2 linked regions of the Coturnix japonica genome follow. The protein of the gene in region 1 interacts with the protein of each later gene in a biochemical or structural test. Links are inferred from orthologs where the notes say so. Each region holds a gene or a part of one and is shown on either strand. Other genes may lie near its edges.

Region 1 (4,275 bases):
AACAGTAAAGCTAAAATAAAAGTCATAAGCACGTTTTGTGGCTGTCCACTACAATTAACTTCTTCATTGCAGGTGGTATATTTGGTACCTCGGGATTTTCACATTATTTTCAATACATGTAGAAAAATAACTATTATGTTTATATGGTGAAGTTTTGGTAAGGGGGGAACTGCAGGCAGGTGAAATGAGACCAGGAGCTTCCCGCTTCATGTTGGATAGAGCTGACTCCAGGTGGACCCAGTGCTAGCCAAAGCAAAGCCAATGAGCAACGCTGCTTGTTTCTTTGATACCATGTTTATGAAATGATAAAAAACATGCAGCAGCTATGAAAGGAGAGAGTCAGAAGTGAAGCTCAGTCTGGGAAGAAGTTGAGGGGAAAGGTGTTTTTAGCTCGTTGTTGTTCTTACTGTCCTACTTTGTAATGAGTTAGCAATAAATTAAATTAAGCTTCCCAAAGTCGAGTGTTTTTGCCTTGTGACAGTAAATGGTGAACAATCTCCCTGCCCTTATCATAATCCATTAGTCCTTCTGTAGCTGTTTTCTCCTCTTATTCTGCTGAGGAGGGGGATTGAGAGAATGACTTGGTGGGAACCAGGCAAAAAGCCAAAGTCAACCCACCACAATAATACACATTTATCTCGACTGTTAGAACATAATACATAATATCAAATGCTTATATAAAACAGTAGCTTCCAGTAAATTCCAAAGTACTTTATACATAATACTGTTACCAAACACTTCTAGCAAACACTTGCTTCCAGCAACTTTATCCTCAGCACTCTGAGGGTGCTTCATAAATAAATGCAGCTCCATTTTGCAGATGCAGTTTACCTGCCCCATTGAAGGTCTTTCAATAGAACAGGGGCAGAATGAAGCACAAAATCTGCAGCCTTAGATTCATTACGCCGTACTACTTATTAGCCAGTCCAGGAAGGGTTTCTTTGGCCCCATGGAGCCAAATATTCAAGCTTGTATTCATTTGGTGAAATTAAGAGAGAGATTTCCACAGGGAAGTGCTGCAGGCTGTGGATCAAAGGGCAGCATCCATCTCTCCAAAATATGATTTTAATGCTGTTGCCTAAAGTTTAACAAGTTTTCTAGTGAGAGTTGAATGGGCTTCTTCTCACAAGATCATTAAGGAGTTGTGAGGCAACCTGTCATGTTTGGCACTGGGCACAGTGTGCAGAAAGCACGAGAGCACAGAGTACAAATCCATTAGCATTAGCTGTCCTGTGCTTGTCCCTCTTTTTCCATTTGTTACCTTGGCTCGCCAGGCATTTATCTTTCCTTTCTGATTGAGACGGGCAAGGGAAGGCTCCCAGGTGCTAAACCAGGATGTCTTAACAGATGAGGCTGTTATCTGAGTATTCTTGATCTCTCCATTTTCCATTCCAAGTGGCAAAGAGCAACCTGTTAAGAGAAGTGCCATATTCAACCATGTAGCCATAGTCTAAGTAACAAAGCTGGAATGGAAAACACTCACAATTTAAGCTTATTTTGAACATAAAAGTTAAAAAATTGCCAGAAAGGAAGCACATGAATCATCCTTACCATCTACTTCACAGCCAAGGAGCTCCATGCGAAGAGTGGGTTCATTGTAGGCCTGTGTTGGGTAGACTCTGATATATCTTGCAATAATAGGGGGATCAATGATGTTCTCTTTTATACCATAGGCATCAGAATTACCTTCAAAAATCTATTAAAAAAAACAAAAACAAACCCACATATAGTTAATTTAATACAAACACAAGTTTGGATATTGAAAAGCCTGCTCTGTTATGGAAGTCTTTTTTGCCATTAGCCCATGATGGAGCATCTTATGTTGCGAGGCAACGTGTATTATTTCATGGTCCCGTCTTAGCATCTAAAGGCCTCAGTTCAAGTAAGCAACCCATTGCTATGTGCTATATAAAACTGATGGAAAAGTGGCAAAAGAAGAGGTAAGAGAAAGTTCTTTGATTTGGGAGTCCTACCACAGAAAGCTGTATTTGGCAAGGCTGGAGTGCTTGACTATAAAAGAAGCCTCTTTTGGGTTATGTCCAGACTTGTTACATGTGCCAACTACAGGCAATGCAGAGAGCTTAAAATTCAATTGCTGTGACAGGAGGGAGGAAGAAAAAGGAAGATGCATCTGGTTCCAAATGAAATAGGGTCTAATTTTTAGTTCATCTTCCTGCTCATTTCCAAAAGTCAATGTGAGCTTAGGAAATAAAAATAGGAAGAAATTCTTGTGAGGAAGCCAGACTCTACAGAAAAGGTCACAGGAACGATCTAAATCCCAGTCTAGCAGGTTTATCTTACAATTTGCCTTCTGGTCTGAATTTGATTAGTAAATGCTCATTGAGGTTTCAAGCTGTATTACTAAAGTCTCTGAATACCACCACTCCTTCCATTATCTCTAACATAAAATTATCAACTTGCTGTATCATCCAATGAGGTTACCTAGCTTGTTGCAATCCCCGTTGTATGCACAAACCTTTTCTGCTGGAGAGCTGTCTCCTCTGAAAGTGTTCCACTTTCGTTTGTCTTTGCTGTAAACAATGAAGAACTTCTGGACGTAGAAAGACTTTAAAAAATGCTTGGCACCCTGCGTCTGTATTCCAGTTAATAGAACTTGTCTTTGAAAGTCCACCTAGGAACAGAAAAAAACGAGTGTTTATAAAGTCAGAACCACACAATGATATAAGTTGCATTCTTTGGCATCTACACAGTAGCTTTGCATTTTGGTATCCACAATATAACACCCTCAGAAGGAATACAAGCAGTTGCTGGAGTCCAAATGAATACTGTCTCTAATTTCATATGTGTATTTACTTCAGAGGTCATTTTACCAGGGTTCACCAGAGCACTACAAAGGCACTTCAAAAATATCTGTGTCTGTGCTAGGCAAAAGGGCTCTCTCTATTTTGCAGATAGGCAAAAGTAGTATAGAGAAACCCAAGGCTCACATTTTCATAAGCTGCCTCTGGTTTTGGAAATCCAGGCTGATAAATGGGACATTTTATTCAGAAGAGATGGAAAGCCACCCCATTTCTTCTGATATTGGATCCTAAGACTTAGCACACAAGAACAAATTAGCAAGATGCTCCTATCAGCAGTGGAGTTGATTCTCTGGAATATGCCCTCCATCCACACCTCTGCACGATCTCTTGCAATAACCTCAGCTTCTCATTACTATAGCCCTTATCAAATTGTTTATCTTCTCAACATATTTTGCAGTTCCCCTACTTCACCTCCACTAACTTGCTAGCATGTAAATTGTTTACAAGCTAACAGCTTGTTAACAGCTACCTGTTGAACTTATGCTGCAACACTAGTTTGAGTCTCTCTCTTCCCTCAACTGGTCATTTTCATGAGATTTTAAAGAAATCACAGGTATGGGTTTAACTGGTGCAAAAGTCATCGGATAGAAGAAAAACATGGAAGTGAAGCACGTAAAGAGTACAGTGCTTGAAGCTTCATTTGCCTGTGATATGTCAAGCTGAACATAAAAGCTGAAGCATCCAGTAAAAATAAAAGTTCTCCAAAACCATTTGAAGTAATACTTGAGGGTATTATACATTAAATGATCACCCAACAAATGTACATAAAAATAAATTTATACTGTTAGGTAGGCAAAGAAAAAGAAAAGGTAAAGAATGATTTTGTTTGCCTACAGAACGGTTTCAGCCTAAATTGTAAGGGTGACTGTTGAACCACTGAGCTTCAGTGGCACTACAGACTGGGTTAACTCCAGGAGAGGTAGGCAACTTATGGCATCTCTAAGCAAAGTTGCTGTGTCTTGTGTTTTCCCAAGCAGTTTTCTCTGCAAGAACAGGAGCAGCTTGATTTTCTAATACAAGCTGCAAGAAAAACACAACACAGGAATGTATGGTCATGTCCAGACTTAACAATGGCCAAGGACTCATTGTATGATACCTGAATCCAAGGGAGATCACTGGTCATTGTTGTACTCCAAGCATTGTATGTTCCAGAATTGTTTAATCGGGCTAGCTTAGGTTCCCAGTAGTCTACAGAAAAAGAAATATGAATAAAGAATGTAATGAGATATACTTAAAACATGGAGTACTTTGGTTCCTTTAAGATCTGTCTTGGGGATAAAAAAAAAGAAAACAGAAAAAAAGGTTGTTTGTGCAGCCTATGTACACCTTCACTTGCTACTGTCTATGTAGAATCCTAACAATTTCTCTAGAAAATGATGCTGTTGTCATATCAAAAATGAATTTGGTAAAGCAAAAACTGTTAGCATTCTGGACGCCAGTTCCCCAAAGCTTT
Region 2 (4,942 bases), about 5.5 Mb from region 1:
ATATGAGAGATGTTTTAAAAAGATGTATATTAAGCTGGAAAAGATACTGAAGCTGATAGCTGCATCACCTTTGTAAGCAAAGCCATTCACTTATACTCTGAAGCTTGTAAATGAGAACATTCACTGTAAAAACCCTTTGGTTGTGGTTCTGAGGTGAAATCCTGTTTCTCTTAAAGTCAAAGGGAGTATTGCTACAGCTTCGATGGTACTTAGTTTTCCTTATGTGCTCTCATTTCAGCAGATGTATGGATGAGCAAAAACATTTGTTTATAAATTGAAACTAACATCACTGCCTTAATATCATGACTCAACCTCTACCATACTCCCTTTTCTGCTTTGTGCATTTGGAAGGAGATGTTAGAGACATGATATAATGAATAGCACCTAACACAGGAGCACTTAGTGCTTTGTCCCTGCTGTAGCAATTGCAAATAGTAATTCATTTTCTGCACATCAAAATATGATGGAAGTGCTTTGCGAAATATAAATTCAGCTTTCCACCTCCTCTGTGTGTAAGTAAGTTCTTTTTAGTTTGACTTTTTTCACAAGTGAGTAGTAAGTTAAGTGATACAAAGCTGAGAGTTGTGATTCATGTCAGTTGATGTTCCATATGCTGAAACTGTAAGATCACCTGTGAGTCAGAAGAGTTAGAGTCCACTATGGACAAAGCAAGAGGCACTGTTTCATTAGAAACCAGGGCAAACATAACACCAGTGTCTGCGGATGGGCGAATAGTCATGGTCACATTTATTAGCCAGTCTTCAGCATTGTCAAGATTGTCTGTTTTAAAAGAAAAGATTGAAAGTAATTAGTTAACCTGCTAATGAAAAATTAATATAGTCTTAAAAAATTACTACTCCATCTGTTTTCCTATTGTGGAAAAATTAGTACTAATCTCCAGAAAAAGTGAATTTTGGACCTTCTAGAAAGAACTGCAAGTCTAAACTTAACCAACAAAACAACCCACTCAAACTTTGCATCTTTGCTATTGTTCTTTTAAGATGTCAGACGTTTTAAATGCTATTTTCTCTGTTCTAACATGGAACAGGTGCCGTATTTACTATAGGTCAATTTAAGATCAAACTTAAAAAAATGACTTAACTCATATATTTCTGCCACTGAGTAGAAGATTGGCAGTTATGACACATTTTTACATTCTGAAATCATTCCGCTATTAAAATGGGAATACGCAGATGGGTAAAACAAACGTGCAGATGGTGCGAATATAATTTAATATGATGTATTCACAGTGAAGCTAATACAAAAATTGTTTAAAGAGCTATTTGTCAACTTTTCTAACTTCTAGCGTCTGCCCTCCCTTCCCCAGTAACATCTAAGTTGATTTCTGGTAGTTTCTTCAAGAAGCAGAAATTCTAGAACATGAAATTAGGTCAGATCCCTACACAGAGGAAAGCGTGAGTGGAAGCAGAGGGCTATAACAGCCTGTGGGAAGGCAGTAGTAGCTGTGGGCAGCCACTTGAACTTGAGGAGGGTGGTATGGGGCTGGAAACTGAATGGGGTGTGGAGAGAGTGAAGGCATAGCAGCAGCCCATGTAAAAAGGTCAGGAGGATACATGTCAGCATGATGTGAATGAATGGGAGCAAAGCAGAGGAACCTTCTATGGCATAAGAAATCACTTGAGTTGGTTGGAAACTTGATGTAAGAAGCTAGAGAAATCTTTTGAAGTGGGATACCAAGGATGTAAATAAAAGGCCTTAGAAGGAATAACTATTCCTAGGATGAAAAGGACTGGGGATCAAAAGGAGGTTGAAGGGTAGGAAAGCATCTGAGATATGGAAGTGCAATGATGACAAGATTTGTGATGATACTAGATATATTTCACTTCAGGAATTTGAGAGAGCAGAGGGTGATCCTGAGTTGCAAAACTTGAAATTAGGGCAGGAAGACAGGCAATAAATTTTTGGGTTCAGGAGAAGATAGGCACTCCAACAGGATGTTCATTTAAGAGATGAATTATATGAACAAAACTGTAGTGATCCTTTTCCACATCCCCAATATACTTTCTCTGTCAATAATATTGTAGGTCTCTCCATGGATAAACAGAGCAGAATTAGATCTAATTAGAATTAGTGCCCATTTTTTACAAATGAAGAATATGCTTCCTAGCCTAAAGCATTTGAGAAATTAAACCGATGACATCAGTGGGAGCAAAAACCCTCACTCAAACATATTCCTCAAAAAAATTACTGGAATCACCACTGAATGCAGTGGTAGGTAGCTTAGTGTTGTTTTTCTTTTCTTTTTCTTTCCTTTACAATTCATCACCTCCAGCAAAATCCAGCAAAAAGTATAACAAGTATAACAACATACAGAAAAATTCTTACTGTAGTTTATATTAAACTTTGCCATGCCATTTCCAGGGTAGAATGATCCTCTCTCAACTGTTACTAAGCAGTGTTTACTCTGCTTTTCTTGAATAACTTCTTTTACACCTGAATGTCCTTGATTCATCAGGTTCCAGGCACGAATGCACCCATCCAGCCGAGGGTTAATCTGTAGAGGAATTACAGCACCAGAGGTGTGAACTCAAATTTATTTTAAAACTATTAAGAAGGTCTTACTTTACATATCAACATACAGCCAGTAATAGCATTTCAATGCTATTGGTTACAGAACTGATACTTGAGAGAAAACAAATGGCATGCATTTAGTATGTCAGCCTTCCATAAATTATCCTGATGTAATAGTTCCAGTTTTGATGTTGATTTCCGTACCCACTCAGGGCATAGCAGAAGCTAACATCACAAACGTGATTAGGCCTTAAGCACTGTGTTTTTATAACTGAAACCAGAGGATAGACTGCAAAGTTGTCTGCACATTTACTTTCAAAACAGTGGTTAATAACCCAATTTTCATTTTCCGAATGGATTCCAAGCTACTATTCTTTCCTGTGTGACTGCAAAAGAAAAAATACAGAAAGTAATAAATCTTAATTAACACTGATTTTTTAGTTACCTGTTTAATGAGAGTGTCACCAACTTTGCGAGGTAACCCTGCAATGTACACCTTAGTTTCCAAGAAACCGTGTGATTGCTTGAAGAGAGTTCCTGGGCTGTTAATGTTCATCACTGCTTCTTTAGCTATTTTTACACTGATGCTGTTTTCTAGTTCTTCAACTGATATCTAGAATGAAATGTAACTATTTAAATATGTACACACAAATAAGTAGGATATTTCTAAATGCTAATTATATATGCCTGTATGAAGGATTATTTTTATATCACTAAATATCTGAATTGTAAAACAGCACTAATGCATTCAGTACTTTATAGCATATTTAAATTTGGATCAGCTGTGGACATCCAATAGAAAGATCATCTTTATTTTTACTCCCATCCTACCCACAAGAATACCTACACAGCTGATTAGTTTGCTTCATGCCCTATAGAACTTTCAAGATGCTGACTTCTACAATTGTACAATTTCTACATTTGGCATACAGTTCTCCATTGCACTGTAACCTGTAATCAGGATACAGAGGGTTGAGTCTCCAGACAGAACACAAACAGAACAGATTCAGCTCTTGCTACTATTAGGCATCAAAGTAGAATTTTAATCTCAAGCAAGTTGAACTGAACTGTAAGAGGTCTATGCTGAATTCTGGGTTCTCTTGTCTCACTCTCTAAAAACAAATTTATCTTAACAATATGGTGTCAATTACAGATGGTATAACTGAGCAAGGTCTTTCATCTTAGGAGTGCAAGCTTGAAGAACAAGCTGCACTTCTGGTTTACTGAAAGTAGATTTGCTTTCTAGGCAAAGTGTCTTATTCTTGTGGAGTTCAACCTGTAATCACACTTTCTAATTATCTACTGCTTCCTTTTTCATGATTACAAAGAAGAATTCCTATGTTGCTAGGTAGTATTAGCTCTCTCTTTACCAATTATGATGATAAACAGGTGTCATGGTTTTGTAATTAACCTGTGACAACAGGTACCACAAATTCCCAGAGGAAGGGCATCCTTGCACATTTCTTGGTTAATTTTTTTAAAATCTGAGATATGGGAGCATCATTTTAAGCCTCCAGAATAGTTACTTACATTCTGCATATAGTTCAGTTGGGGGATTAAAGGAAGGGAAAAAGGCAAATCCAACTTACAATATGCCACAGGCCATCATTAATGGCTTTTCCTCCACTGGTAACTTTTGTTCCAAATTCATTCTTGAACTGAATTTCAATCTTTCCATCGCGAAGAGCAAGCAAGATCCATGCTGTATTGTCAAGGGATTCTGCGTATAGTATAACTCCCTCTGTATCGTATGTCCGGAAATCAAATTCTGCTGAAAATCTGAATTATGAAGAAGAATTTTTTATTAAGACAGGAATCCTGAAGTACTGAAGAGCCTAGGAAAACCTATTAGTAGGGTAAGAAACAGTTGATAGTCACCTTTTGGTAATTCTGTTTCTGAGCATTTGTGAGATTTGCATCCTATTAGACAAAGGCAGAATCTGATGTTGTTTATCTAAATCCAGGGAGAAGCTTAGCAACTAATTCCTGGAACTGGGATTGAAAAAAGCTTTTGTTCAGTTACCACGTCTCATATGAGCTTTGCACGTGAAGGATATCGCATCCTGTTTATTAAGAGGTTAGAGGCAATATCCCTATTGCATTGCATGGAAATATGATGTAGAGAAAAATAAGTGATCAACGCTGTAATTTAGAAATGTGTTACCAAGTGCTATCCTACAACAATTATAACTTAGATGTTTGCTATATTGTCTTTTATGCGTTTCGCTCTAATCTGAGGATTTGTTGTCTGTATCTTGGCAGCTGAACATACATATAGCAAAATTACGATTTATGCATATAGGACAGGATAGAGTGGCAAAGAGAGAGTATAAATATAGTGATAAACATCTCTCACCTTCCAGAATGCCTGGGCTAGATAAAAAAGATTAAGGATGAGAGGAGAAAACAA

The links.
Region 2: the proteins of F5 (region 1) and PROS1 form a complex in vitro, tested with the Homo sapiens proteins (2 studies listed by BioGRID). The link is inferred for Coturnix japonica from reciprocal best matches to the Homo sapiens genes F5 and PROS1.

What each region holds. Positions count from the first base shown.
Region 1 is NC_029516.1:74,923,921-74,928,195, reverse strand, and holds part of F5 (coagulation factor V), read right to left. Parts: intron 4,011-4,275; coding exon 3,919-4,010; intron 2,633-3,918; coding exon 2,477-2,632; intron 1,697-2,476; coding exon 1,552-1,696; intron 1,411-1,551; coding exon 1,262-1,410; intron 1-1,261. UniProt on the Homo sapiens protein: Central regulator of hemostasis. It serves as a critical cofactor for the prothrombinase activity of factor Xa that results in the activation of prothrombin to thrombin.
Region 2 is NC_029516.1:80,452,638-80,457,579, forward strand, and holds part of PROS1 (vitamin K-dependent protein S), read right to left. Parts: intron 4,312-4,942; coding exon 4,122-4,311; intron 3,146-4,121; coding exon 2,978-3,145; intron 2,516-2,977; coding exon 2,347-2,515; intron 781-2,346; coding exon 632-780; intron 1-631. UniProt on the Homo sapiens protein: Anticoagulant plasma protein; it is a cofactor to activated protein C in the degradation of coagulation factors Va and VIIIa. It helps to prevent coagulation and stimulating fibrinolysis.